Linked DNA regions of Rhinolophus ferrumequinum. The main gene of each other region encodes a partner of the protein of the gene in region 4 in a complex. Links are inferred from orthologs where the notes say so. Each region holds a gene or a part of one and is shown on either strand. Other genes may lie near its edges.

Region 1 (7,143 bases), on a different chromosome or scaffold from region 4:
TTCATACACTGAATATACATGCTTTGACTTGGCGAAAGAAACAATTATCTGATAACATACACTCTTTCACTTGGTCACTAACTTAAATATGTCATGCTTTAATTATGCAAATATACAATGCCTTAATTACCTTCATAAAAAAATAGTTACAATTTTCCCTATAGAACATTTATTTTTGTTGTTATTTCAAAACTTTTTCCAATAGTCAAAGTAGATTCTGAATAGTACAACCTCAGGGTCAAAAACTAATGGTATTAAATCAGCCAAATGTGCCAAACACAATTTCTTACTGAAAGCACCGCTAGACAATTGGCACATTTCTTTTAATAAGAAAAAGTGATAAAAAGATTTTTAACCTCTTGCTATATGGCCTTAAACACCTCCATAATCTCATATCATGTTGAAAGTAGTAGCTACAATCATTTATTTACTTAATACACTATATTATTTATTCTATATAGATTTTCCTTAAATGTGTGCCAAGAATAGTCATCTCATTCCATGTATGCTAAAAAAGGAAAAATAAAATGAATTCTGTTGTTACATAAATTGAGGAAAAGCTTTCTGTTATATCCTTCTCTTGGAGATTTTCAGTTAGTAATAGGTCTTTAAAGATTCTGAGAAGTCTTATGGTTAATATTTTAAAAGTATTTTCCTTTGTTTAAATAAGCATTCCTAACTTACTTGACACAGAGATCTTTTGTTAATACATAATACCTATTAAATTTAGAAAATTCTAATTACTATTAAAAAAATACAAGTTTAAAAAACCTCTAATTTACATAATCTAAGTCCAAAACGCAAGAAAATTTAAAATTTGTAATAATGAAAAGGGATAAAAAAAGTAACCCTTTATTGAATGCCTATTTTGTACCAGGTACTAATTTATCTGTATTATTTTTAATCCTCAGATGATTCTCATTTTACAGATGATGAAAACCCCTCAGAAGTGGTGATGTAAGGTCTGTAAGTCAGTAGAGCCCTGAAATGCACTCAGATCTGACTGACATTAACAATCTGTGCTCAAACCTGTAGATAACACTACTACTTTAGCAAATCTTTAGCATTTCAACTACCTTCAAGTTAAAATGAACTTGGAGAGCAAGCTGGAGAAACACCCAATTCAGACTCCCACACTGCGATCCACTGAATAAAAGAAGGTGGCTCTCAATATTATATTACATTGTATTATGTGCTACATGAAACTGACAAGAATCTGGGAAAGTATATTCACATACAAAGGTATGGATGTGTGTGGGGAAGGCAGTGAAGCAAGGGGGAGAAAACAACAAGCTCTTAGCTAGGTCAAGACTCCCACATTCTGGAATGTTTGGTTCTCTGATCTCTTTTCATGATACTCCTTTCCTCCCTATCACACTCCAAAACCCAGATATTCCTCCACCCCTGCTTCTCTAAGAAGAAAACCTGACAGCATGAGAAACATTTTATGTATAGCTTAAACATAGCTGGAATAAATGGGATCAAGAAACATATCTCCTGTGGATATACCCCACGAAGGCCAGTCATTATTATTATTTAAATAATTTAATTAAGATACCTACATTTCTTCAAGGGAGTGACACACAGCCAAAAAAGTACCCTTGATTATATATTTTAATTATGTAAAATTCATTTCACATTCTTAATTTTAAATATCTGTACAAGGTAGTTGAAATAAATTATATTCACACCACAAAGGCAGAAGGTTTACGAGTGAGGTTTTTTTCAAAACATGAACACAAATCTGGTACTCCTCAGTGTTTCCTTGTTTTAAGTATAAGTTTACTCTAAGTATTTACCTTCTTGTCTCCAAATGCTCTGATTCCATACATTCTCTGAATCATAAACCCTTTTCAGAAACTTCACAGAAGAAAATGATCATATAAACCAAATACTGCTCTACAAAAAGTCAAGTGAGTTCTGGGAAAAAGTCAAGCTATCACTGACAGAAGAAAAGCCAGAATTTTTATTACAGCAGACAGGAAGCTTTACAGTAAAATCCTATTTCCTGCACTCATTTTGAATGACAAAAATATCATACTGTTGACAACAGAGAGTGTATCCTACAATGTATCCGAACTCTTCAAATTTGACACTCCAGGGTCTAAAAAAAGGCATGTAACCAGTGTTTCGATGTTTTCTGCTCTTGAAAATGTTTCAACAGAATGAACTGTAAAAGTGCAAATGCTAAAATCTATGTTCTCTACATAAAGGTTCAAAGCCAGAATTTCAACATTTATGCTGCTGTGCATTAAAACATGTATCTACATTCTCCATGAAGGTATCGGAACGTGTATGGCCCGTTCCCAAATTCGAGAAAAGAACACACGTGCTCTCATGTCTCCCCCTTGTAAAAGCCAGGAGAAAAGTAGCCTGGGAGGCAAGAGGCGGCAAGATTCCAAACTGCAAGTTCCTTTTGACAACTCCTATGTACTCCCAGCCAGTGAGCTGCAGGAGAGTCAACAGCTGAGGGGCTGCAGTCGAAGGCAAGTCAGTCTGACACTGACGCGCGCAGCAAACCAGGGTAAACGCGCCGACTTACTCTGCACCTGCAGGTCCATCTCGCGCATCTCAGTGAAGCGGTCCCGCAGGTCCATTGGAAGCTGCTCAATCACTGCCAAAGGGAGAATCCGTCAGAGGGGCGAGGCCAACGGCGAAAGTACGCGCCTACGTCACTGCGTGCGTGCGTGCGTCGGGGGGGGTCGAGGGAGCCGGCAGCCCACAGCGAGGCTGCCAGTTACCGTGAGAAAGAAACATCCCCCGCCTCCCCCTCCCTCCCGCCATCCCGCCCGTCCACTCGCGCTCTCGCCCGCCCGCAGGTCCCACAGACGGCCCCCGCCAGCGCCGCCCACTCACTTTCCAGATAGTCCTCTAGGTACAACATCGCGGCCTTTAGAGCTGGGGGAACGAGGGGGTCCAGGGGTTTATTTGTGTCACTCGCTGTCGCCGGAGTTTTGTCCCTTCCAATATGGCGCCTCCGCTAGCAGCGCCCGCTCGGCTTCGGCAGGGAAAAAAAAAAAAAGAAAAGAGAAAAAAACCACTTTGGCGCCTGACGGCGCTTGCCTCACTGCCGCCCGGAGCTGTCATTGGTTGGCTGAAGCAATGACGTCAGCCTACCGTAGCCCGCCCCCGCGCTGTTGTGGGAACTGTAGTTCTATTCCCTCCCTAGCAAAAGTGAACACGCTGTCAGTTCTTCACATGGAAACTACAAAAACCAGACGCCACAGCGAACGGTGCGTAACGGAATCTGAAATGCGGTGCCTCTGTTTATTTGTTGATTTTTGCACGGGGCATGACGGGAGTTGTATGCGCCTGCGTAACACAACTAGGAACAACTTTTCACCTGTTCTTTACTGCTGTGATTCCATGCCCCGGCATTTGAGTCTGGATTTCAAGTAGTGCTAGCAAAATAGCAAAGGTTCTAGCGCTAGAATATTCAGCAAAGTTCGGGCAATTTGTACTGTTTCAAACAGAACTCGCTGCTAGAATTTATCCTCACTATCCAATCCTAAAAATACAAGTGGGACGCCTGGTTGGCTTCCACGTAACAATTTATTTTAAGCATGGAGTGAATATGTATTTCCCATATTAAAATATGCAAAAATAGTCCTCAATAGCCTCATATTCTATGTTGCGGTCCGTCTCGTCACGCTAATGGAATGAATCTATACGTACAACCTGCACCCGCAAAACAACAAATACCGAGCAAGCAGAAATAACGGATAGAGCCTTAATAGTGAATGGGCTGTGCTAGCAATAACTTTAGATTATGTTGAGTAAATAGCCTTTGTTAGACGTCTGTAGTCCTGTGCGTTGTCTTTTTCTACCTTTTGACTCCTCCCCGCGAATGTTCACCCGTGACATAGTCCTTCACTGCTTAGTTTTTCTCTGTCTTAACTACGTTGACACTCAGTACAGGTTGGGTGTTATTTTCCACTTAACTCTCTTCGGGTTTCGGGGATACTTGTCTTTAGTTCATAATTTAATGTTCTATTTATATTTTTCATTGGAGTTGAAACACTGCATTTGTGTTACCTGCTTCACCCCGCCTTTACATTTTCTTGTTCTCAAGACTTTTTCACCGCTCTTAATCAGGATACTTACCTGTCATATTAATGAACCCCAGAGAAAACTTAACCCTAATAACGATGACATCATTTAGTTTCTATACTTTTATCTAAAATCAGTGCCTTAAGTTTTCCTCCCACCCTCCCTCTCCTTCCTTCTGGCTGCTTTTAAGATCTCTGATATTGTCGCAGTTTCACAATGATCAATACAGATATGATTCCTTCCTTCCTCCTTCTCTCCCTCCTTTCCTCCAGCCCTCCCTCCCCCTCTCTTTTTCTTTCCTTTTTTTTTTAAAACCATACTGAGTATTTGAGAAGATTCCTGAATCTCAGTATTAGTGTCCTGCAACAATTGTAGAAAATTCTCAACCGTTGTATCTATAGGATACCTCTAAGATAGAGAGCCTCTGTTTCTCTTAAACTTTTTTCTATATGGTCCACCTGGAAGTCTTCAAACACTTCATTTTTAGAAGTTCTTTTTGGTTCTCTTTCTGAGTCATTTTCTAATTTCTTATACAAATTAAGCATAATCTATATTCTGTGTCTGTGAAATTCAATGCTGAGAATTTTATGGGTCTTTTGTGCTGCCTGCTGTTTCTTCAAGCTTTTGCTTATGGTGCCTGTTTCGGTGCAGGTTGTGATTTTGGACTCTGCATGCATGTTTCTGGGCTGGTAACTATGGGGATTCATTGAGGCCCGAGTAAAAAGGGAGTTTTCCTAAAGAGTATTAAAATTTGCTTCAGCAAGTTGCCTGGAGACACCATAAACCCTAGAACCAGATGAAGTTCTCCACTTCCGGTTTATTGGATTGCACAAATAGATTGAATTTGGGTCTCAAATCTGAACAGATTTTATAGATTCTCGGGAGACTTCTTCCTTTCCCAAGTTCCAAGGTCAAGATGGGCGTGTTTCCTTACTGACCATCAGGTTTCTTTCTCAATCACTCTTACACTGGGAATGTAATCCTTTGGGCCCCAGAGTTTTGTCTCTTATTAGACTCCTCCTTTTTCATGGGTCCTTGGCTTTATTTCCTGACCCTGGCATCTGCACAGCTATTAAAGCAGGAATTCAAGGTGCCCAGAATTTGACTGATAATCTCGTGGCAAAAGTCACATTGACCCTCCCTCATTTCTCAGGATTTTCTTCTCATTTTTATTCCTTCTTTTTTGATTTTCCCCCTCTGAGCATTCCTTCATTTCCTATCAGTTCATCAATGTATTTGATTTTTTTTTAACCCAGCATTTTTTGTTTTCAGCAGGTGGCTCAATCAGAGTAGCTAACATGCAATTCTGTCAGAAATAAAAGAAATGGAAGTCCATCCTTTCAGTGTAAACTGAGCTGCTTCAGGGAGTTTTTCATACTAAGGAAAATGAGATAATAGATGGTTCCCAATTCAGTGAACATGCATACACACTGTAGAGAAACTAAACAAATAACAAAACTAAACACTACATATTTTAGTTAATGTAATTCTTATTCTTGGACCCTGTATCAGCTGCAGAAAATTGTGTATGTACACACGTGTGATAGCTTCTTACATCATTAGGTCAGATAGTAGATAGCACTTGGAGTGTCTACTTACTTAACACCCACTACTGCCTTTCTGGGCCAGGCCCCTCATATACAGGAGTGACCATATCTGTTACATTACTGTGCTCCCTGATCATAATGCATTAATTTAACAGGGACAGATCAAAGCTGGGCATACTAGATGCACTCTCTTTTGATCTGAAACTGGAATGTGGAGACGTGGAGACTGACGGCGCTGTGGCAGAACTGCATTCATTGCAGCACAATACATCGTGTGGTCCACAGGCTGCTGTGCTGAGATCTACCAGAGCAGCTCTAGGTTTTCTTCCTTGGATTTTTTCCCCTTTCTCTGTCACCTTCTCTAACATTAGTTGTATCACCTCCAGAAAGTTATTTTCACACTCTTGGCCTCCATTTCCTGATCTGTAAGCTGGAAATAGCAATAGTAGCTAAATCATAGGTGTGTTAGATTGAAATGATATCATCTATGCAGAGCACTTAGGTTCAAGTATGGTGAGTGTCACGACACAATAAATGTCAGCTTCTAGTACCATCCTCATTAATGCCATGAAGTCCCCTCCTCAGTTACCCATATTCAAATGCTCCTTCGTGCTGCTCTGAGCTTTGCCTTGTGCCCCTGGTCATTCTGAGGCTGGACTCCTCCTAGACCCACTGAAGATTATCTCACGTACAACAGTTGTATCGCCACTGTCATACTCCATTCAACGGAGAAATGATCCAGGGAGGCTCCGTAAGAGTACTGCACTGAGGGCTACTGGCTAAGGAGGAGGAATCAGAATGTAGGGAACAGATGCAAAACGTGGATGCAAAATATGAGTGTTACTAAGAGTCCAAGAGAAAGGAAAATTGAAATCCTTCATATAGCATCTCCTCAGGGGAAACCTTGGCTTTACGTCTTAAGGTTCTGCCACTTTCCTATTGAAAATATTCAAAACTTTGAATATTCTCGTAAAACTTTGAAATGAAATATGTTCTTAACTTTGTGCCAGGCAGTGTATCCTCTCTGACAGACCTCTAAAACATGGGAAGAAAGAAAAAATGCGGTCTTTACATGAACCGCTCTAATTTTACATTTTAAAAGTCCATTGAGTCACTCACTGGATCAGTTATAAGCAGCAGGATAACAGCCTTCACTTTACATATCTATGAATGTTCCAGGCTTTTCTACTCCTCATACCCACTAAAGAGACGTCTCTAAGGAAGGCTGTACTTTGCAGACCTGGCTCCTGGGTGTTTGTGACAAAGAATATGGAGAAGAGGACAAAGGGAAAGAAGACAAGTGACTAAGGGGTGGAGAGTTAAGGAGATTTTACAGAGGCGGTTGTTATATAGGGTTTAGTGGGTGGCATATTGAGAAAGGATGGATAACTGGATATGAAGCCATCACAAAATCTTTCCTTCAAAATAAATGGAAATTCTGGAAGACATATAAGAAAAAAGCTTGAAACCAAGAGAAAAATATCCCAGGTGCCAGAAATAAACAGTAAACTCCACGTTGGAGCTAAAAGAACCAGAGTGTTTATAG
Region 2 (7,138 bases), on a different chromosome or scaffold from region 4:
TTTTAAATTTAAACTTGGACTAAGAAGCTTAATGCCTGCTTCAAATCACTGATGCATAAAAAATACAACTTTGAAAAAGGTCCCATGTGCCCCTGATGAGAAGGATTCTCAACATCAGGGCCTATTTAGTACCTGGGCTCCTGGAAAAGGATGCAAGGGAGCTTTCCTGAAACAGTAGGGAGAAGAAAGGAAACTGTTTTAGTTTAAACCCCCTTATCTTTGGTTGATAAATGCCCCCATAACTCAAAATTTTCTTGTTACCCTTCGTGAAGAAATGTTAGAAGCTCCTTCTGAGACAGCCCAGCTTTCAGATGTTAACTCTTCTAGTATCAGGCCAAACAGTTCACCCAGAACAATACATCCTTGACAAAATGTTATTGTTTCTCCCTGCCATCCTGGTAGCATTTTTGTGGACTTCACCCCATTCTTGGTGGGGAGGGGCTGGATCCTCTCTATTAGGTCAGAGTTGTAAAACAAAACTTTCTGGTGTGGGCCTAAATGGACTTAAGCAAGGGAGAGAGGGGCAGGAGACCCTGACTCTCCATTCCCAATGCAAAACTATGTTTGAAGTATTTTCAGGGCTAAAAATTAGCAACAAGGAATGCCACCTTCTCTGTTTGAAAATGACTGACATAATGACTTCAATGAGCACAGATGGCATCATGATCTGTTTGGAGATGAGGAAGCCGAGGCCCAGAGGATGAGAATGACTTGCCTGGTGTCACACAGTATGTGGCAGAGCTGGGCCTCCACTCTTTTAAGTCTTCTGACTCCTGGTCTAGCTGAGTGAAGGCGAGAGGGCCACTAGATTTGGTGTCAGAAAACCAGTTCTTCCACTTGAGTAAATAACTGCAGGCCCTGAGACTCCATTAATTTGGATTCTAGAACAATACAATCCACCTTACATGTTTGTCTCAAGGAGGAAAGTGAATAACAAACACGGAAAGTGCTCTTTGTAAACTGTAAAGAGCTATGCAAATACAAGAGACCGTTATTACACCACAGGGGAGGAAGGAGAGGCTGCAAAAAAGCAACGCGTGGCACTCCCCAAAACTGGCAAGGAAGATACCACGATGGGGTGGGTAAAAGAATGGGGCAGGGGGAATCCACTTTTCCAAACGAAGACATAAAAAAGCATTCTAAATGTGTGCTTCTGAGAGACAGCCTTTTCAGTTTTGTTCTTTCTGAAGCCCCTAAAGGGTAGGGCCTAGAAAACTTCAAGCTTTCTCTGGTATGATAGCGACTGTTTCCTCCTGCCTGCTCCTGCCAATTTCTGGGAAACTTTTTTTTAAGCACATAAAGATCTTGGGTTCCCACTCGGCTCACTGGGCAGACCCTACTTCTCATCCTCTATGCTGCTATGCACAGGCACCGCCTCCACCCAAGTCGAAAACAATTATATCCCTGATATGCCAATTCTGGGGTTTAACTCAGAGGCCGCAATTAGCAAGACTCTAGGCGCTCGCCTCTGCGATTAGAAGTGTGAGGTTCCTCGCTGGTCACCGGCCCCACTCTGGCGACCTGCCGCTCTGACCGACGGGAAACCCCACACGGGGCGGGGACTCCCCAAGGAAAATAGGGGTCGCCCTCCAGCCGCCGTTCCCCAGGCGCCTCCGCCCGGGACGGGAAGGGCTGGGTGAAGCAGAGGAGGCGCCCTCAGAAAGGAGGCGGAAACGCCTCCCGCCCGACCCCCGAAAAGTCGACCGCGACCCCGCCTCACGTGGCCCCTCCCAACCCCGTCTCTTTAACTAAAGCGACAGCAGCGAGCGCGCATCATTTAGTTTCGCCGAACCCATCTTTAAAGCACACAACTACCACGACCCATTTGTTGAGTTCTGTGAAACCGTTTCCAGGGATCAAATTCGGAGTTGCGGCCACCACGACATGATACGACCCGCCGAATTTCGTTACCTCGCGGGGGGACGAAGGGGATGACGCCTCGAGTCCCCTCCCCACCTCCGATTACTGCGACGGGTCCCAAAACTTACCCGCGGCCGGACAGCCGGCCGCTGACCCAGATTCCGCCTGGCGGCGGTCGGCGCGCGCCCTTCCCGGGGGAGTGGGCGCCGCCGGCAGCGGGTGGTCGCCGGCTCCCTGAGCGACCCCAGCCCGCGCCCGACGCCCAGGGGCCTTGAGGCCGGGGGCGGCCCCCCCAAAAAAAAAAGTTGTTAGCAGCACTGAAGAAAAGTTGGACTAACTTCTCAGGCAACGATGGCTGCGGCAGGGGCGAGTGGGACTGGGGGGTCGCGCCCACGCCTCCCGCCCCCAGGAGGAGGAACTTGGGGAGCGGAGGGCCCCCCAGCACCCTGCTTCCCGCCCCCACGAGGCCAAGACGCCCGACTCCAAGAGAGGTGAAAGGGACTAAGCCCCCATGCACACACAAAAACGCCCCTAGAAACTTGAACCCTTCGCCATTTTAAGTAAAAGATTTTAATGATTTAAAACTTCAAATTAAATATTTCCCCCCGACCCTAACCCCACGTTGGGGTTGATAAATTACCCCTCCCTACACACCCACCCGGACCCCCCGAAACCCGATTCCCCGAATACAGAGCTGGAGGGGAAGGGGAGGGGGCTGAGTCATCTCACCTCCTCCGGGGCTCTGTTCCTTAACTCCAGGTTAATCCTCTTCTTCATCTCCATGTCCTCCTCCTGCTCTTCTGCTATTACTCTCCTCCCTTACCCTGCCCTGCCTTTCCTGCTACCCCCAACCCTCAAATTGTAAAAGGTTTGGAAATGAATGAAAAGAAACGCAAATATAAACGCCCACCACCACCAGATAGGTGTGGGGGAGAAAGAGAATAGCAAATGGAGTCCAAGGAGTTGGGACTCTAACTCGGCTGCCCCCACCTCCTTGTCCACACACTCGTGCGCGCACTCACACGCGCGCGCGCACTCACACACACACACACACACTCACTCTCACACACACTCACACACACACACCCGCAGTTCCTTCCCCTTCAATGGCTGCTCCGAGACTGAGCCTCCATGACACGGCACCGCCAACCCCCTGGCCTACACTCCACCCACCTCCCGAATGTATTGGTTACTTCTTCAGCATCACACTATTCCATTGGACTACACAAATGTCTATCAGTCTTGAGGGCGGACCTGAACCAGAAACGCTGTGTCTATTGGCTACGACCAAGCGCGCAGTTAACTCCGATAGGTCCAGGAGGGTGTTCGTCCGGAAGAAATGATTTTGAATCCCAGTAGCCCCCCTCCTTTTCTTTGTGTGGTTGGCGCGCTTTCCCTAGGCACGAGGGCGGTTTTGATGCCTGTTTGATTTGTTTTTGGGTTTGGTTTTGTTTTTCTGTTTTTAGTGTTACAGGCAGAAAGCATACTTCTTACGTGCCCAAGTTGCGATACTGGTAACTCAGCACGCACAGCTCCTGCTTTGCCGCCAAGGTGCACAGCAACGTGCACGTCATATAAAAAGCATGCCTTCGTGACACTGCCCTGCTGGGGACAGGCTTCTGGTCCAAAACCAAAGCCGAAATAAAGACGGTATTTTAACTTCCACCCACGAAGGACTGAAAGCAGTTGTGTGAAGTATAAGTTAGGCACCTTTAAACAAATTGTTACTGAGGTAGTTGTTGCTGTAATGAACAATAAGACCTTGGAGGAAAAACAGTACCGGTCTAATGAAAATGAGACATCGATTCGCATATAAATAGTACTGCAGTACCTCTCCAATTTCCCTTTGGTTGGTTTCCATGAAAGTCTACAGATAAAATGTGCTTTTAAAAGTCTGTCAATGTGGGATAGAAAAGAGCAGGGTAAGAATCATTTTTAAAATTTTTGTCTTGAGAGCCTAACTTTTCTTAGCTCTTGATTAAATTCTGTCCTTTTTATTCTCTTACACCATTATCAGGATAAATACCCAAAGACAGTCCATATAATGTGGGGAAGGAAGTGGGTGAATTAGTCTAACCCCTCTCAGAGCTGAGTATTTGCTATTTTTCCAGTTTCTCAGGTTGGAGACCTTAGGTTTTACCAACAGACTCCTAACCACTCCACCACCACGCCTCCTGCCCCCCTACAGAGACACACAGCTCCTCAAATAGGATTATGCTTAAAATATAAATATTTAGTATTTAGCATGTTAACTACTTTAAAGGAAAACAAAATAATCATTGCCTTCTCCTTGCTGTTTCCTTTGAATTCCCTGGAAAGGAAATTTTGTGAAGAGGAAAACAGGGAGAGGGAAAGCTTTTGGAATGAAATAACATCTCTAGGGGGCGATTTGGAGTTAGTTAAGTTTGTTAGTTTTAATCAAGCTAAAGGAAGTGAGGATGATATAAAAACTAAAGCAAAATGGATTAAGGAACATTTCAAGGAAGAGTTGAAAAACAAGGGAAGGAAAAAAAGGGCTAAAAAGAAACCTGAAAGCCCATTTTAGTACCAGCTTGAGAAGAAGTCCTGTGTTCTGATCCCACCGCCACTGCAGAGTCTGGAACTCTGGAATGGCATCCCAAAGAGAGTTCTGGGAAGGAGTACATACAGACTTAGGAGTCATCCAGATACGAGTGATAGTTGAGGCCATGAGAAAAAAAATAAGACGCCCACAAAGCATGTATATAAGACTATCAGGCAAAAGAGAGTAAAACATGGTTGAGGGGAAAAAGAGAAGACAGGGATTGTCTACCAAAATAGTCAAAGAAACAGGTAATAAATAAGGAGGTGAATTTGGGGAGAAAAATGTATGGAAGACAGAGTTTCAACAAGAGGTGATTATTGGGGTTAAATGGTAGGGCTTCTGTATCGGAATACATTAGACAGAATGGAGAGGGTGCTGGAAATACTAAATGTGAGGAAAGGCCATGAATTCGTTTTACCGTTGGCTAGCAGCTTCCGAAAGTACACCATAGTAAGCACAGACAAAGGTCTACCAAAGTGGGCCTTTCTCCCCGTACCTAGTGTCCCCGCCTTTATATCATCTCTCATCTGCATTACCTCAAGACCTTGGAACTTACCTGTTTCCAATCTTAATCAAGAAGACAGGATAAACAAGATGCTGGGGGAGGAGAGATTCCCCATAGGACTGAGAAGAGGTTGGATGAAGAACGTTACCAGGCTAGTACATGGACATATGGAACTAAATGAGGGATGAAAGAATGAAATGCAGTCAGGAGAAAATCCGAACTCATGAACTAGAACGTGTTTTAAAAGGAAGTAATGAGGCAGGGTTTAAATGTTAGAACCAAGAGTGAGGTTCAGTAATCAGGAGGTGGTATGAAAGCAAAGGAGCAAGGAGTGGAATGAGTAAGAGGGTGGTTCAGAACATGCCTTTGATCCACCAATAAGAAGCGTTCACCAGGATATTCTTTAACTCGATGTGTCTTTAAGTTTCAAAAACTAAACTCATCTTCTGCTGCAGAATATCTTCTGTTGCCCGCCAGATCCACTCTTCACTCTGTGACTCAAAACCCCACCGAGTCCTATGACTTGCTGGGTTTGGGGGCGGGGGAGAGGGCTGGCAGGAGACGGGTGGGGGGGGGGGGTTGAAGGGGAGTGAGGTTGGAGTATTCACCCCCCAACTTTCTCAGTGGCAGGTTGTTACAGGAGGGCCTCTACTGAAAGCCACCGATCTAGTCAGGGCTGTGGTGGACACGGAAATGCACGACCCAGATTTTCCTTCAGGAATGAAGAACTGATTCCCCTCAGTGCCGGGATGACCTTCCGCTGTCGGCCCTTGTAGGGGGTTACCTCAGCTGAAGAAAAGTGCCTTGCCCAGGGTTAGACCTCCTTCAACACAGAGATATACAGGCCCGGCCAGCCCTTTGCCCCAACTTAGACTAACTCTGAGGGGTCATTCATCAGCGCTCCAGAGCACCCCCAGGGGCCTGCATTGCCATTCACTTTCTCCCACTGCTTCATCCAGCTTTCTTCTCCTCTCTTCCACAGATATTGAATCCAATATCATCCCCCCAATAAATGTTCTGAATGCTATTTTCATCTCAGAGTCTACTTCCTGAGGAACCCAACATGAGACAATGGCCCTCTCCAAAGATCTACCCCCTGAGGAAGCCCAAACTAACGTATAGGAGAGATCACAGGGAGAAGCCTCTGTGAAGAGAATGAGAGGTACCCACCCAGCCCCCAGCTTCTCCTCCCCCTACTTTTCCAGCTCCAGCCACTGTCTAATTGCAACCACATAAGAAATCCTGAGCCAGAACCACCCAGCTGAGCTCTTTCCAAATTTCTGTTCACAGAAACCATGAGAGGTAATAAAATGATCATTACTGTTTTGAGCCTCTAAATTTGGAGTTGTTTGTTATGCAGCAATAGTAACTGGAACAAGTCCCTAGAACAATTTTTCTGATCAAGTCTCACCAGAGCCATTTTGTTCCATACAAGTCATAGGCATTCTGCTCTTTCTAGCGTTGCTTATGCTGTTCTTCTACCTTAACCAAAACCATTTAACCTTCTCCAAATTCGTAAGACTTATTAAATGTTCTATTCACCCAGCGTTTGCCCTGAGCTGCCTAGCCACATCTTCTACATGTCATTTAATTCTGGTTCGCCCAAACTCACTGAAATTTCCTAGAGAGAAACCAAGTCCGTAGCTTGGTTTTCTCTCAGTACTTGGCACAGTGCTGAGCACACAGTGGGTACTCATGTTTAGTAATTGATTATGTACCAAATAACGCTCAGTTGGCAGTTTAATTCCACACTTCCATTAGGAAATATAGAGGTTGGTTGATGCCTTTTTGGGGAACAGGTGATGGAGTGAGAGTGAAGGATAACTCCAGACTGTTCTTTCTCCTAACTTTTTAACCTTTCCCTTTTCCAAACTAGTTAATTTGCAGTCTCAAGACAAATCTATGGCAGTGCAACTAATGCCAACACACTTTCTCCAGAATTCAAAATGATTTGGAACCACCAGAAATCATTCCTACATGTACCAGGCTAGATGTAATGAAAACTGGCAGAAAAGTTGAAAATCTGTATTTCAACCAATGAGAACTCTCCCAAACCAACCCCATTGTCTCCTCCATGCATCTTAAAGTGGGGTGTGCCTTCAGGTAAAAGGTTAGAGGCTTCCTCTCTAAAGAAACTGATCAGCCTGAGACAAGTCCAGAAATACTCACAAAATGGTAGAAAGTAGCCAGATATCTGTGCCATCTCCTCA
Region 3 (7,326 bases), on a different chromosome or scaffold from region 4:
AACAATACAGTGAGAATACTTTTTTCTTATTAATAAGTGGTCTTTTACAACATTACTGTATAACATATTACAGTTTATTTAGTCGATCCTCAAGTTTTAGATATTTAAGGTGTTACCAACTTTTCACTATTAAAAATCAATGTTGTGATGAATGTCTTTATAACTAAATCTCTGTACACTCCCATGATTATTTCCTAAATATCAATTCCTATAAATGGAACAGTGGGGTCAACGTGTTGTATGCCTTTAAGGTTTTGATATAGTCTGCCAATTTGTTCTCTAGAAAGTCTGTATCAATTGTGCTTTAACCTCTAATATTACCTAAGTGACAACATCAGAAATGTTTAACCTGTCAGTTATCAAATCTTTAATATGCTTTAAAGAGCACAAAATCATTTCTTCTGAACTTTAAAATGTAATTTTTGACAGTATAACTACAGATGAAGCAGGAGCTTGCTTGTTTATGGATGCATTAAATAACCACATTAAATATTTGGAAGATTTGTATAAAAAAGATTGAGGGATAGGAGAAGTAATTTATCCTTTTTGTTTTTCAACAATTATCCACTTTCACTTAAAGGAATAGTTCCCTCTCTCCTCAATATATTTAAAGTTCATTTATTTCTAAAGAAAATATCAAATTCAAGTACAAAATAAATATCATTAGTGAATACAGCTCCAAGATACCATAGTAGCATTAGTATCACTTGATTCTAAGGTAGTACGAGTTTTATGATGGGGAAAAATATAATATCAACTATGATTATCTGTATGTTTATAGATATGATTATCAACAGATATCTATATGTGATTTTACATAATCTTGGACACTTTTCACTTTTGAAGTTTAAAAAAATGATGAAGTCTTACAAATCATATATAAAATTCTTACAACTTTGGTATACAGTTAATAAGATAGAATCAAACCCTCCCATATACTATTCAGAATCACTCTAATAACTTACCCTGTGTTTCTTCAGGTTAGAAAGTTCATCCACAACAATTTTTTGTTCTTTAATCTATTGAAATAAAGAAAACTTCTTAAATCAGAGGTTCTTGAAGTATGCTGAATGAGGGCCCATTAAAAAAAAGTAGAGATGGGATAAGGGGCTATAATGTACTGATTGTCCAAATTGGCAATCTGTGAACACAGATTCTTTTCAACAGCAGTCTGTGCGAGGGTACAGGTGTGGAAAGGCTGAGGGACGAAACAGCGATTAAACTTGCCAAGTGTTAGACAACCCACTGAATCCAAACAGAGGGTTTGGTGTTGGTAACCAGCATTCATTCAAGGGCCATGGTTAACAATCAAGGTTTTTATCTTTTACTTGAAACAGACACTAGGCACCAGTTTTTCAATGATTTCTTTTATGTTTTAGCTTATTTCAATAATAAATAGCAAATGGAATGAGGGGTGGGCTACTTCCCCCTCCCCACCAAATACCAACACTTTTCATGATTTGTGTACTATATGGTGCAGCCCAAGCACGTGTACTAAATGCTGTACCTGCAGTAAGACCTATCACTTTCCAACTTTCTTCATTAGTCTTTGTATGCCAAAGACTGGCACAGCGCTGACACTGCTGAAGGAGGCCTCACTTTTTATAAGTAGGAAAGGACTCAACTAAGTGGAAACTGAATTTCTAACTTTTTTCAGTAATGGTGGTTATTTTGTGAACATGACTGATCACATAGTATCACTAGTATCTCTAAAATCAGGTTTTATAATCTGTTCTGCCTCACTCCTCAGGGATCTGTCATATCAGTGTAAGTGGCTTGCTATGGCAGTGAGTGGACTATGTGTGGTTTGAAAATTCACCCACCAGGAGTGTATATCCCTCTGTCTTTCCAGCTAAGTCAGTGCAGTAACTGACTAGACTGAGTTAAATTGGAAGACCATGCACAACCTCCTTGAAACTTAGGTTTGAACATCGCTTTCCCATTCATTTTAGGAACGGCAGGTCATTTTTCTCTTTACTTCAAACAAGGAAACTGTGATACAGAGGGATTAGAGACTTGCCCAAGATGTCAATGTTAGTTTGGGTTTGAAGCAAAGAATCGAGGACATCTGTATCTCAAAGGCTATAACCATCCCCATCTCCAACATATTTTTAAAGGTTTTGTCTTTTAATGCCAGTTAAGATTTATATTATACTGGCTTCGTTCCCCCTTTTTGGAGGGTGGAGGAATGACAATAAGACGTGTGTTTTAGGATCGATTGTTGCTCTGGCTAACGTGGAGAATAGATTGGAAGAAGGTAATGATGGATGATAAAGGGCGTTTGAAAGTCTTTGCTGGGTTTCCGATGGTAAGTAGATGAAGGTGGCTGGTTTAGGATGGTTAAGAGTGTACACGGTGACAAAGGGACTTATGTGAAATGAGCTTCAGAAGCAGAACGAATAGGACGTGATGGACGTCAAGGATGATTCCCAACTTAGTGGCAGTCTTAATGGATGGTGGACAACTGAATGGATGGCGGTGACACTTTCTGAGATGGAGAATATCGGCAGCGGATCTGGGTTGGGCAGTATTTCTAAAAATTTAATCCCAACTAAATCTCCGCCCCACTGCCCCAACTGGGTCTAATTTCGGGGCAAGTTTCAGGATCCCCCTTAACTGTAACTGTCCAGAGCTAAGAATAAAAAGAGCGAAGCCGAGGTGGGCAAAGCCGAGGCCGGGCCATGCTGCAGCGGTGGGCATTCTGAGGCCCAGCGGCACCCCGTCCCGCGCCCGTGGGCCTTCTCGCCTTGTCCCACACTCACCTTGAAGCTAAGCTCCTCTTTGTGAGGGGCCGAGTTGTCGGCTGGGACCAGCCCGGCTCCGTTTTCTGGGCGCGCCTCCCGGAAGGGAATCTCCATCGAGCGCAAAACATGCAGGATGCGCAGCCCGGCTAGCGCCTCAGCAGCCTCCGAGCCCCCCGACTCAGTACGTCCACCATCCCAAGGCTCCACCTCCTCCCTCTCCCCGGTCCCATGAGTCCTACCAATAGCGTCTGCGCGTTCACTGCAACGCCTGCGCAGTCCGGGTCCGGTATGAGCGCAGTTCCGCGCGTGCGCACAGGTGCTGAGGGAAGCGCGTGAGCAGAGCCGGGTTGTGAAATCTGGGAGGTTCCTGAACAGTCCCCTAGTGGATCCGATATAGAAAGACTTTTGTGACCTCTTCACATTCTCGCAACCAGTAGACTGTGAGTTGTATGCGCCCCCTAGTGGTAAATATGAAGAATAGAAACGCAGTAGAAATTCTAGTTAATATTTTTTATGTAGCCGAGGCCCAGATGTGAGATACATTGTTGGCAACGAAACTGTACAGACTTGGTAAAGCTTTTGTTAACGTGTTATTGGGGTTAAAAGGGAAATGCAGGATGCCCAGTTAAATATGAATTTCAGATAAACGAATAACTTTTTAGTATAAGTACGTCCCACACAGTATTTGCAGTATCTCACTTCTATGGGAAAAATTATCCAAAACTTGGGAACAGGCAAGAAATTATTGGATGTTCTTTCAGTGCTTTTGTGGGCTTGACTTTCTATAGACTGGGCAATTTTACAGTTCTGTAGGGGCAGAGGTTAACCTGTAGATTTTTGTCTGGCAGAGATGCAAATAATTTCTATTTGGTGGACCGGATAACCCCACAGGTTATGATTTATTGTTCTGTAAGGCATTAACCAGTTTTGTGTCTAACCCTGCAATCCTACACTAACGCGTCTTTATTAACATAGGCCTATCTTCTCACAGACCCTCTGAATTGGTTTAAATGTCTTACCTGTTCCAACATCAGTTAATGAGTTGAATAAGATTTTGACATATGTTCATTTTATATTTGCATGACAAATATGATTTTATATTTTTGAAAATTATACTTTAACATTGAAAATCTCAAGTTTTCCTGAAGCTGCCCGTGTGGACTCATGATGGAGCCAAACTCTGCTAAGGAAATGTACCTCATAGGTTGTTTAAGCCCAGGATTATCTTTTATTGGCTCTTTGAATAAATTCAGAGTGGTTATAAAACTAAGTTTACTGTTTGTTTTCATTTTTAAGGATTTAAAAAAATTTTGGTTTTCTTTCTGATTTGTGCGTGGCTATTACACATTGGTAGCAGCAGCGATTGGGAATTGGGCTTTATGGCCTAATCATTCAGTGATATCTGTTGGGTGATGGAGATCCAGTCTCTATTGGAAGAGAGATGGCAGAAAATCCAGTTTTTAATCTTTTTGTTTGTCCTTTGCAAGCTCAAATTAATTAAGAATTTTGTGCTCATTGGAAAGACCAGTTTTTTGAGATATGGGCTAGCGAATTTTTATGTTTACTTTCAACCTGAGATAGAGGTTGGAACACTGAAGCTATAAAGTGTCTGTGTCTGTGTCTATGATTTAGAATGGCTTGTATATCTTGCTGTGAGAATGTAAAATGTTTTTGTACTTTTGGAGGGTATTAATAAATTCCATTATAATGTCTCTTAAATTAAAGGGCAGTCTATAGACATAATTATGCACTTGTATAAATCCCAAAATTCAAAAAAAGCCCAGAATTTCTAATACTTTAAATGTGCTAGACTTTTAAGAAAATAAAGTCCTTCTGCTAGCTTAGAAACATTTGAAGCATATGTTTGGAGAAATTAAAGTGAATTTTTGGAGAAATCAGACTGGATTAATAATTTGGGTTTAAGAGAGAAAATGCATTTATCAATGCTAAGTAAAATACAAGTAGATGTTTTATTTTTTATGACATTTAGATTTGTTTTCTCATGAAGAGATTATTTAATCTGAATTTCCTAATTCATACACTGGTTTACTGATTAAATAAGCTAGCATTACTGCTACAGAATATTTAAATTTATGAGAAATGTAAATTGGTATTCACTAAAATGAGTAATTATTCAGACAAACTTTTTATGTCAACAATAATTATATTTCGTACCGTATAAATTTAAACACAATTCCAAATTTTTAGGTAGCTTAAAACCCTGAGAAAATATCAAATGGAGTTAATTAATGATTAATCATTAGATAACTAGATAATTTATTTTAAAAGGTGAATACTGAAACAGTGATTAATATAAGCATAATTTTAAGTTTACATACTTTTGCTTCTTGTTTTTATATGCCATAGAATGGCTATCCTTTTGGATAATGTAAGGGACATGTTCATTTTTGACATTTTCAGAAGGTGTAAAGGGAATGTGTGTGGCTGTAGACAGTTATGTGTATGAATGAACTTTGTTTGCTAAAGTGCTTGCATATGACAGTTACTAATTATCTACCTCCAGTTCTCTCTATGAAACAGAAGTTATTAAATTGGTTAAAAGTTGTAACTAATATGGGTGGTTAAGATCACATTAAAGGCAAGAATAATAGAGAATGCAAGGTAATGGGATGAGTCTTGTTTTGTAAGGAAAAAGAGAGTTCTAAAGTAATTATTTTGTTTCAGAATATGAAAAAGCACAATGAAAGACAAAACTTGAGGAATTATATAGTAGGTTGAAGATGATTTGATGAAAGATGATTTGCATTGGCTTATAATACCTAGCGCCGAAAAGAAACTATGAAATATGTTTAAATTTTGGCACAGTACATTCAGTTTGGAAGCCTTATTCACAAGATAATTTTTTTTAAACTTTACTGCCAAATATTATATTAATTAAAAACTGAAATTTCGTCTTTTCTTAACTCCATTCCCCCAAATCTTTAGGGTTCACCACAGTTAAGCTGGTAGGAACCTAGGAACATGTCTCCCCTGACACCTGGGGTGACATTTTAATTAGTGTTCAGAGTGATGGTGACGTTTGAAGCTGAAGAGACACCAGCATATTGGTCTACTTTGTAGACCAATGTGTGTTATTGTGTGTATTGTATTATTATCCTGGCTAATGTATGATGTATATTACTAGCCTGGCTTCCAAGGTTTAGATGAATATTACCCCTCCTCCTATGGCAGTGTCTGCCTGACTGGGAACTCTAGTTAATGCTTGAATTGACTCTTTGACCCACATGATTTCCATACTGAGTGGCCAGAAACCCTACTGATTGTTCTATAGCTGTTCATGCCCTTTTGGGGGTGGGCTGTTGGTTATGGCTCTGCCTGGTGCTGATATTTCCACTGATTTACATGGGTCACCCAAGATGACATAATACTAAATGCAGTAGTGATATGATAATCTTATTAGTATGGTGCTGAACTGTTTTCAAAGTTCTTTCACATTTTATCTTATTTTTTTGTGTTTCTCCAATTGCTTCTATTTCCCCCCTCAGCTGTTGTAACTCCGGCAGTGCTTGAAGTCACACTTGGTATCATTTGTCTAACTGGTTTAGGACTACCCATCAGCAGCTCACCATGTAACTAGCTCGGCTGTACTTCTTCTTTCATTTAAGTCCATTGCTGTTGTTTATTCTACTTAATAGGATAATTTCATGTTTATTAATGCTATATATACACTTCCTCTGATGCTACATTCTTAATGTATTTCATTTTGTTTAATAATGCATAGTTTACCATTCACCATTTTGTTAAAGTGATGTATATTATTAGCCTGGCTTCCAAGGTTTAGATGAATAGTACCCCAACCACAGTTTTCCCTTGCTTTCTCATAATACGGATTTGTCTCTAGCCACAGATTTGTCTCTAGCCACAAAAGTCTCTTTCCCATCTCTCCCAAAGGAGGTATGGAATAGGGCTGTGGTCCCCAAATGCCAGTTAGTAGGTGGGTGCCCTTCTCACTATGTAAAATCACCTGAAAGTCTTGTTCAAATACAAATAGATTTCTCAGTCCTTTTCCCAGACTTATTAAACCAAATGTTTGTGGATGGAATATGGTTGTCTGCTGTATAACATAGTGCTAACCATTTAACCTTTAACCAAAATGGCTGGGTTTGAATTTTGGCTTCTCCATTTATTAGATGTGTGAGTTTGGTAAGTCATTAACTTCTCAAGCCTCAGTTTCCTGATCTGTAAAATGGGACTAATAATAGTGCCCACCTCAAAGGGTTGTAACGAGGATTAAATGAGTTAATATTTGTAGTGTTTATTATAACAGCTACAAGCACATAGTAAGCACTATTTAAGTATGTGTTAAATGGATGAATCAGGAGTTCCTTCAGATGATTTTGACACACAGGTTTAGGAGCCAGTGGAATGGACAAAACTAGGCTCTGAAATGTTTGGCCCAGTTATCTTTGAAGATATGTCTTCTCTTTTACTTCCACTGATTTTCAATAGGGCTAGCTAGGGCTGTTCCAAGTTGATACTTTCGAAAATAGGTGGAGGCTCATTTGGTTGTTACAATGATTGGCTAGTTCTGCCCATTCTCGTGGGGTAGGACTAACAGGGA
Region 4 (7,585 bases):
ACAGAAAGGCTACAATGACCAAAGTATAACAAACAAGAATGGGAAGATGAGGTTAAAAAGGCAAGCAGGGGCCAGAACTCAGAACAGAATTTTAGAGAGTCCACAGTAATATTTGGATTTTATTCTACATGTAATGGGAAGCCACTGAAAAGGTCTTAGGCTATGTATCATGTTATGATGATTTGTTTTTAAAAGATCTTGATGGCTGCTGTGTGGAGGAACAGACAGTAGGAGTACAAATGAGAGTAGTGACTTTTAGCCTGGGGACCAGAGATAGTCTCCAGGAGCCCACAAACTTTCTGAAATTGGAAATGAAATTGGAAATAAAAGTGTGCGTATATGTTCATCTGTACATTTTTCCAGGGAGAAGATTTACAGCTTTCATCAGATTTCCAAATTAACCTATTAAGGGCTAAGAATCAATGACATATACTACTAGTTTGCCATCAGTTAACCATCCCAAGATGCTACAAAATAAATGCTGTATGAGGTTAAACCTGTGGCACCTTAAGATTCACTAAACGCCTTCCAAATCCTCAAGATCAAATTCCTTGCCTTAAGGGAGGCCACAGCTCTTCTCTCTGGGCAGTGACAACACTACCCTATTAACAGAGTCTTGGGAATCTATCTTATCTCCTCTACCACTATTCCCCATGTGTTGTAGAGAAGTACCTTGATCCCACACTTATGACAGCCCCTAAGAAACTGTGGGTTCAAGGAATGCGTGTAGATGTGCTATATTCCATTTCTGGCTCAGCTGGAAAAGCACAGTGCCCTTAACAGAGCCTAGAAGCTAGTCTTCGGATGCTGCATTTCTAAAAAGATAACAGAGCCACTATGGTTTTTTCCATAGAACCTGTCATATCATAATCCTCAGCATTGAAAGTCTTTGGGAAATTCAAAAGAGATAGAAGAGACTTTCCAAACCTTGGATGTGTACTCTTATTCACACACTAGGACCTCTTCCATTTAACCTTCGTCAGTTTAGGCTCCAACTTTTCTCTAGTGAGGTATGTTCAGTGAGTACTAAAATTTAAAAAAGTGGAAGGGCCTTTAAAAGATCACCTAGTCAAACTCTCTCATTTTTCAGATGAGGATATCAAACACCAACAAGACTGCTGATGTGACCAGAGTCATACAAGGACCTGGTAGCTGAAGTGGAATGCCTATTAATTCAATAAATAAATACCGAGCCCCTATAAAGAGTCAAGTTCTGGATATTTAATAATATTAATAATATATTTATGCTCAGGAAGCTCATAGTTGTACAGAGGCATACAGCATCAGAGTTAAGAGCATGGATTCTGGACTTGGGTTTAAATCATGGCTCTACCACTACCAGCGGAGTGACCTTGGACCTACCTACTTAACATCTGTGAACTACAATTTCCTTATCTGAAATGGTTCATGATAGTGGCATACATGCTAAAGGGTTTAAGGGTAAAATGTACTATAGTCTGCAACTTATTTTGAAATGCAAAAGTGGACTGGTGGATGGATAAATGAATATATATATATGATAAAGCAACAGAGTAAAATGTTAACTGTAGAATTTAGGCACACAGGTATTCAATATACAAGTCTTACAACTTTTTGTGTGTGTCCTAAAGTCAGGGAGAAACAATTATTAGGGTGGTGAAAACAAGACAATGGAGATAAAGCTGCTTAGTACAGTGCTTAGCCCATAGAAAGCACTCAACCAATGTCAGCTATTTGCTGTAACAGGTCCTCAGTAAGCAGAAGCTACATAAAGAGAAATTTGAAAGCCACCTTGACCATACCAATATTTCCTTTTTGGAAAGACGATGCTCAAAATGGAAGCCAGAGACCTTTCTTTGGTCCTCTGTATTAGTACAATTAGGGGAGGAGGAAACAGTCTCAATTAAGGTTTCTGTAGCTGCTAAGTGGGGAGGCCAAGAGGCATGGATCTGAGAGCACAGCAAGCTGAGAGAGCACTAATTTGTGTACACGTGGGTACAAATACACGAGGGTACAAATCCTACCGTTATCATTACTAAACTGAGTGGCAAGAGTATAGGTGAAGTGACCTCTCCCACCCTCAATTTTTTAATCTGAAAAAAAAAAAGCTTGAATAGTTTTGTGATTATAATGTAATACTTTTGGACTTAGCATAGTTGCCACTTAATAAAAGTAGATTGAATTGGAATGGTCAATAGGATGCTGAGCATGAGTGAAGCAGGCTGCTCCTCTCTGTAACTCCCACTTCCCTCCTTCAGGTCCCAGGCCCTGGGAATCAAAGTGAGCTTTTTCAGGTTGATCACTCCCGTACTTTAAAACCCCCACAGCCTCCCACTGCGTTCATAAAAATCCAAATTCCTTCCCACGGTCAGCAAAGCCCCGCAGGAAGTGGTCTCCAATAAAATATAATAATTACTGGCTTAAACGTTTGTCGTCTCTCACCACACTAAAATGTAAGCTCCATGAGAGCAGGAACCTCATCTATCTTGTTCCCCGCTGGATCCCAGCGTCGCAAACAGAGCATGGCACGGAGTGGAGGACTCCCTCAAGACTTGCCAAAGATGAAGCAAGCAGTCAACCGCCCCCGTGGGGCCGTCACCTGCTCTTCTGGAACGGCTCCACTCCCAGTCCATGAGGCGCCCCCTCGCCGCCCCCACAGCCAATTTTCACTGCTCCGAAGAAACGTCAGCGGTACACCCTAGCGCACACCCAGGTCTGAGCCCCCACCTCAGCGGCCCCTCGCGGCGGCGGCGTGCTCAACGCCCCGATCCCCTGGCCCGCCCGCCACACCTCTCGCGCGTTCTCCTGGCCCACGAGCCCCGATGCCGCTTGCTTGGCCAGGCCGCTCTCGTCCAGCCCCAGCCCCTTCACGTGGCTGTGGGAGGCGATGCGCTGCGTCTTCGTGGTGCTCTTCACCTCCTCAATCTTCATCCTGCAGACGTCCGGAATCAAGACCTGAGTGGAAAACCAGGAGACAGTTGCCCAAACCCGGGGCCCAGGTTACCATGCGGCAGTTACTAGAGCGGTTTGTCAGGGCCCGCCTTGGTCGGCGATCCATTGGCGAAGGCGGAAACGCCTCTGCTCTCCATTGGCTCATGACTATGCCCATCGCGGCGGCCGTGGGGGCTCTCCCCACCCACTTCCGGCTGTGTTGCCGGATTAGCATCCCCCGCAGCCCAAGCTTCCTGCTCTGGCCCGGGGGCGGTAACACAGAGAGGATAAGCTCGAAGTTTCGTCTGGGGCTGGGACTCTGCACTGAGGTGTGAGTCTTAACCGTGCCATCCTGTGCATTTCGCATTGGACCGTCATATCCTTCAGAGAAGTTCAAGCTCTTACCTCCGTTTTGGAGATGGTGAAACAGGTTTACAGCGAAAGCTTTGACTTTTGCTTACTGAGTTTTCAGGCTCCCACGCCTTTGCGTCTCCCGGGGAAGGCCCACCCCAGCCAACCACTCCCACCCATGTGCTGCTGGGTATCCTCCATGGAACTGGCCTCTGCTTCTCCTGGCTTCCACCCTCTCCCTTTATTTAAATTAAGTTGGCTGCAAATAACATTTTATGTTTCCAAAACTCTACGACCCAGTAAGGTAGTATAATTCCTAATATAGATAAAGACAGGCTAAAACAGGCCCAATAACCTTGCACAAGAACGCACAGCAAGTAATTAACAGAATTGGAACTCCAGCTGAGGATTTAAGGCTTCACAGCCTGTATAATCTTCATCCCATCCCACAACCTCAGATGAGACAATCAGCCAGCAAATATATCCTGTCAGGCTCCATAATGATATTAACACTCCCTGTACCACAGTGTACTCTCCCATCCATCCATTCATTCAGCAAATATTTGTTAGCACCTGCTTTGAGCCAGACACTGCAATGTACTAGGAATACAGAGATAAAATACAAAATCTCCAGCCTTGATAAGCTTAGTCCTTAGTTAGGAAATTTGCAACATTAGATGTGCAGGAACATGTACACCCCACCTGGTGTGCAAGCCCAGAGCAAGGCCACCTAGAACAGCCTCGAATGCCAGGGAAGGCGTCATGAGGTGATAATGCCTGGGCCAAACCCTGATGAATGGATAAGTCTTCTTCAGAAGCAGGTGGCATGTCACCTTTTTACAAATGAGTAAACTGGGGTCCAGAGAAAGGGAAAGACTTGCCCAGAACATAGGACAGCTTACATTAGGGTTGAGACAGACCTGAAGTCAAATCCAGCTGCAGTAGTTCCTGACTCACATCCCTTTGTACTTCTCCATTATAACTTTTGAATCTGGGTTTCTAATTAGTTTGCAAGAGTATTAGGTCAATGTTTGTCTCTCCCACTAAACTACAAACATTATGAGAGTGTAGACCACATTTGTGTTGTTCATCATTTTAACCCCAGTGCCTGGTACACAGCCTGGCTCACAAGTAAGCCTTCTTATGAATTCAAATAAGATTCTAGACTCCCCACATACACACTTGAAATCATGCAGTTTGCTGCATGTATTTTACAAACTGGGTTTTCTGGGACTTGGTAATGGTTTCTATCAGTAAATGGAATGTTGTGGCATTTTCAGAGCCCAAAAGAGTAGAAGCAAGGCCTTGGAGAGCTGAGGTTGTTACTGATGACCTGCGATACATCAACCCTAGGGATATCACCTCTAGGACACCCAGAAGGTTGCTTAGCATCTCATTAATTTATTCCTGGTTATGACCCTTGGTTAAGAGCAATTCCTTTCACACTGTGAAAGGGGAAGACTTTCTTCCAACTAGTAGTCAAAATGAGGTACTGTATGGAACTAACTTCTTTGTGTATTGTCCAGTTAGGAGAGAAGACCATTTTTACATTTATTATTTGGCACAGAGTAAAGGGAAAGATTTCCTACCAGCCAAATATGGGGGTAGGAGATAAGGACTTTGGAGTTTAGAGGAATTCCTAGGAGCCCTTGGTCCAGTGGTTTTCAAACCACATTCCCTGGAGTTGTGGTATTCTTTCATGGCCACTATGAGTGGGGAAGGGGAAGTCTGAGAGTGCAGGATACCTGTTCCATGCCCCTACCTCCCCTTCCACCAGAGCTGTTCCATTTTTTTTTTTTTTTTTTACTGCTAATGAATAGTTCAAAAATCACTGATCTGGCTTAGCCTTCTCATTTTACAGGTTAGGCAACAGAGGCCCTCAAAGGGGATGGAAACTGTCCAACTTCACAAATGGAACAATTGCCTGACAGTCCTTGACCCCAGATTTGGTGTGCAAAGAAGCTAGACCTGGTTGCAGAGCCAGACAGTTCCTTTCATTTTGACGGAAGTCTATGTGGTGGGCCAGTGTCCGAGATACACAAGGTGAATGAAGGGCAGTTGAGACCCATAGTAGTAGACATGGGTTATTTTACCTACCCAGAATCCATTCAAATTCTTCTGGCTACCATCACTCTAATTTTCTTTAGAGAACCACCCTTCCCCCACTTTGAGTCCAAATCCTTTGGATGGGTTGCCCCTAACACCCAGCGTTATTTTAGGGATGGACACAGAACTCTGGCCTATCAAAGTATCTCATCTGCCTGGACATGGAGATTGGTTTGGGAATGTGAGTGAACAGTCCAATGACAGTCCTGGCACTTTTACTGGAAAAATCAGGAAAGAAAACTTGGGTCATCGGTTTCCAGGTCATCTTTGTCACTTCATAGGAAGACCGCCTGAGAATGAAGCCAACACATAGGAAAGGAAAGCTGACAGAGATTCCTGATAAATTCCTTTACATTCCCAGATCCAGGCTTGCCCTTCTTACAATGTTGTATGGCACTCACATTGGGGCTTAAAATAATTTGAGTTAGGTTTCTATCTGTGGGTATTGAAAATCCGCATCAATGTGATGATACATATGCAAATAATTGTGTGGACTGCTACATTCCAGAATTGTGCTGTGTGAAAACACCAGAACTGCCAATTCTCTCACTCTTTTCACTCCCATGACCCTTGCTGTGTCAACTCCAATCCCTCCAACCCATCTTTTTTACATTCCAAGTTTGCTCATCTCAGCCACTTGGTTTCCGACCCTTCTGCTCCCTCCTTGCATTGACTTCTTTCACACCTGACCTTTGAACCCACATGCCCAGATCAAGACTACCTCTACCTTCTCCACTGCCTCATGAAGGCTGCTGTGTATGGCGGCAGGCAATTATTCAGTGTCCCCATGGAGCCATTACACTGTCATGGTCTCCAGCTTCAATTGAGCACACAGAGTTGCCCAACTACTGATTAAATGTCATATTAGTTAGGATATTAATTCAGCTACAGTAATGGAGAGATACAAAATAATAGTGAACTAAACAAGATAAAATTTACATTTTTTCACATAAAGTCCAAGCAAGCATTCCACCTGGTGAGTTCTATAATCATTAAGAATCTGTCCTCCTCTTTCTCTTATTCTGCCATTCCCCACACACACCTTCTAGTGCATGGCCCTAGATAACTGCTCAAGCTCCCCCCTAAAGCCTATGTTTGAACCAACAAGAAGGAGAAAAGGGGGAAGGGAGGCTATGCTCCTTCCATTTAACCTTGACCTCAAGTTGCATCATCATTTCTACTCCTATTCCAATGGTCATACTTAATCAAATGGTTACAGATAGCTGAAGAGAGGCTGATAAACATAGTCATTAGCTGAAAAGATACATGTCCCCACTAAAAATTCTATTCCCAGGTAAAAAAAGGAGAGAAGATAGATTGGGAAGCAACTCTTCCTCTCCACCCTAAGTTGCAATCTGCCGGGCATTGCTGGGTTCTTCTTGTGTGCTGACTCAAAGACACACATGACCTTCCTCCTAGTCAAGGTATCTCTACTAACTGGGTTCCAGATAACAATCTGGGCCCCACTACATCTCTCAGAGGCCTTTCTCCACTTATTACCCTCCTTATTCGTATAGTTCCACCTATTCTCCCTGATCATTCCCCACAGGATATAAACATACTCAATCTTTCCCATCTTAAAACACAGATCATATTCAATGATGAAAGACTGAAATTGTTTTCCCTAAGATCAAATACAAGATAAGGATGCCGGCTTTAGCCTCTTCTATTCAACATTCTATTGGAAGTTCTAGCTAGAGCAATTAGTCAAGAAAAAAAATGATCACCCAAATTGGAAAGGAAGAAGTTAAACTACCTCTATTCTCAGATGACATAATCCTATATATAGAAAACCCTAAAGAAAACACACACACACACACACACACACACACACACACACAAACTATTAGGGCTAATAAATTCAGCCAAGTTGCAGAATACAAAATCAACACACAAAAATCAGGATATAAACATAATCTTCCCCATTTTAAAACACACAATGATAGGTTTTGCAGAAATAGACTATCCCATCCTAAAACTCGTAAGAAATTTCAAGGCACCCCAAATAGCCAAACAATCTTGTAAAAGAAAAATAAAATTGGAAGTCTCCTACTTCCTGCTTTCAAAACTTCTTACAAATGTATAGTGATCAAAACAGTGTAGTACTGGCATAAAGATAAACATATAGATCAATGGACTAGAATAGAGAGCCCAAACATAATCCTCACATACATGATCACAAAATATGGTGAATGTTTAAATTTAAAAAATTTATTAT

The links.
Region 1: RUVBL1 (region 4) and ING3 share a complex: the UniProt entries of both Homo sapiens proteins name them as parts of the SWR1-like complex. The link is inferred for Rhinolophus ferrumequinum from reciprocal best matches to the Homo sapiens genes RUVBL1 and ING3.
Region 2: RUVBL1 (region 4) and ANP32E share a complex: the UniProt entries of both Homo sapiens proteins name them as parts of the SWR1-like complex. The link is inferred for Rhinolophus ferrumequinum from reciprocal best matches to the Homo sapiens genes RUVBL1 and ANP32E.
Region 3: RUVBL1 (region 4) and ASDURF share a complex: the UniProt entries of both Homo sapiens proteins name them as parts of the PAQosome complex. The link is inferred for Rhinolophus ferrumequinum from reciprocal best matches to the Homo sapiens genes RUVBL1 and ASDURF.

What each region holds. Positions count from the first base shown.
Region 1 is NC_046309.1:22,924,829-22,931,971, forward strand, and holds the start of ING3 (inhibitor of growth protein 3), read right to left. Parts: upstream 3,023-7,143; 5' UTR 2,885-3,022; coding exon 2,857-2,884; intron 2,615-2,856; coding exon 2,543-2,614; intron 1-2,542. UniProt on the Homo sapiens protein: Component of the NuA4 histone acetyltransferase (HAT) complex which is involved in transcriptional activation of select genes principally by acetylation of nucleosomal histones H4 and H2A.
Region 2 is NC_046305.1:50,609,266-50,616,403, forward strand, and holds the start of ANP32E (acidic leucine-rich nuclear phosphoprotein 32 family member E), read right to left. Parts: upstream 3,009-7,138; 5' UTR 2,644-3,008; coding exon 2,590-2,643; intron 860-2,589; exon of another isoform or gene 716-859; intron 1-715. UniProt on the Homo sapiens protein: Histone chaperone that specifically mediates the genome-wide removal of histone H2A.Z/H2AZ1 from the nucleosome: removes H2A.Z/H2AZ1 from its normal sites of deposition, especially from enhancer and insulator regions.
Region 3 is NC_046291.1:39,096,445-39,103,770, forward strand, and holds the start of ASDURF (ASNSD1 upstream open reading frame protein), read right to left. Parts: upstream 3,001-7,326; 5' UTR 2,859-3,000; coding exon 2,763-2,858; intron 1,020-2,762; coding exon 966-1,019; intron 1-965.
Region 4 is NC_046302.1:1,213,511-1,221,095, reverse strand, and holds the start of RUVBL1 (ruvB-like 1), read right to left. Parts: upstream 3,007-7,585; 5' UTR 2,911-3,006; coding exon 2,707-2,910; intron 1-2,706. UniProt on the Homo sapiens protein: Possesses single-stranded DNA-stimulated ATPase and ATP-dependent DNA helicase (3' to 5') activity; hexamerization is thought to be critical for ATP hydrolysis and adjacent subunits in the ring-like structure contribute to the ATPase activity.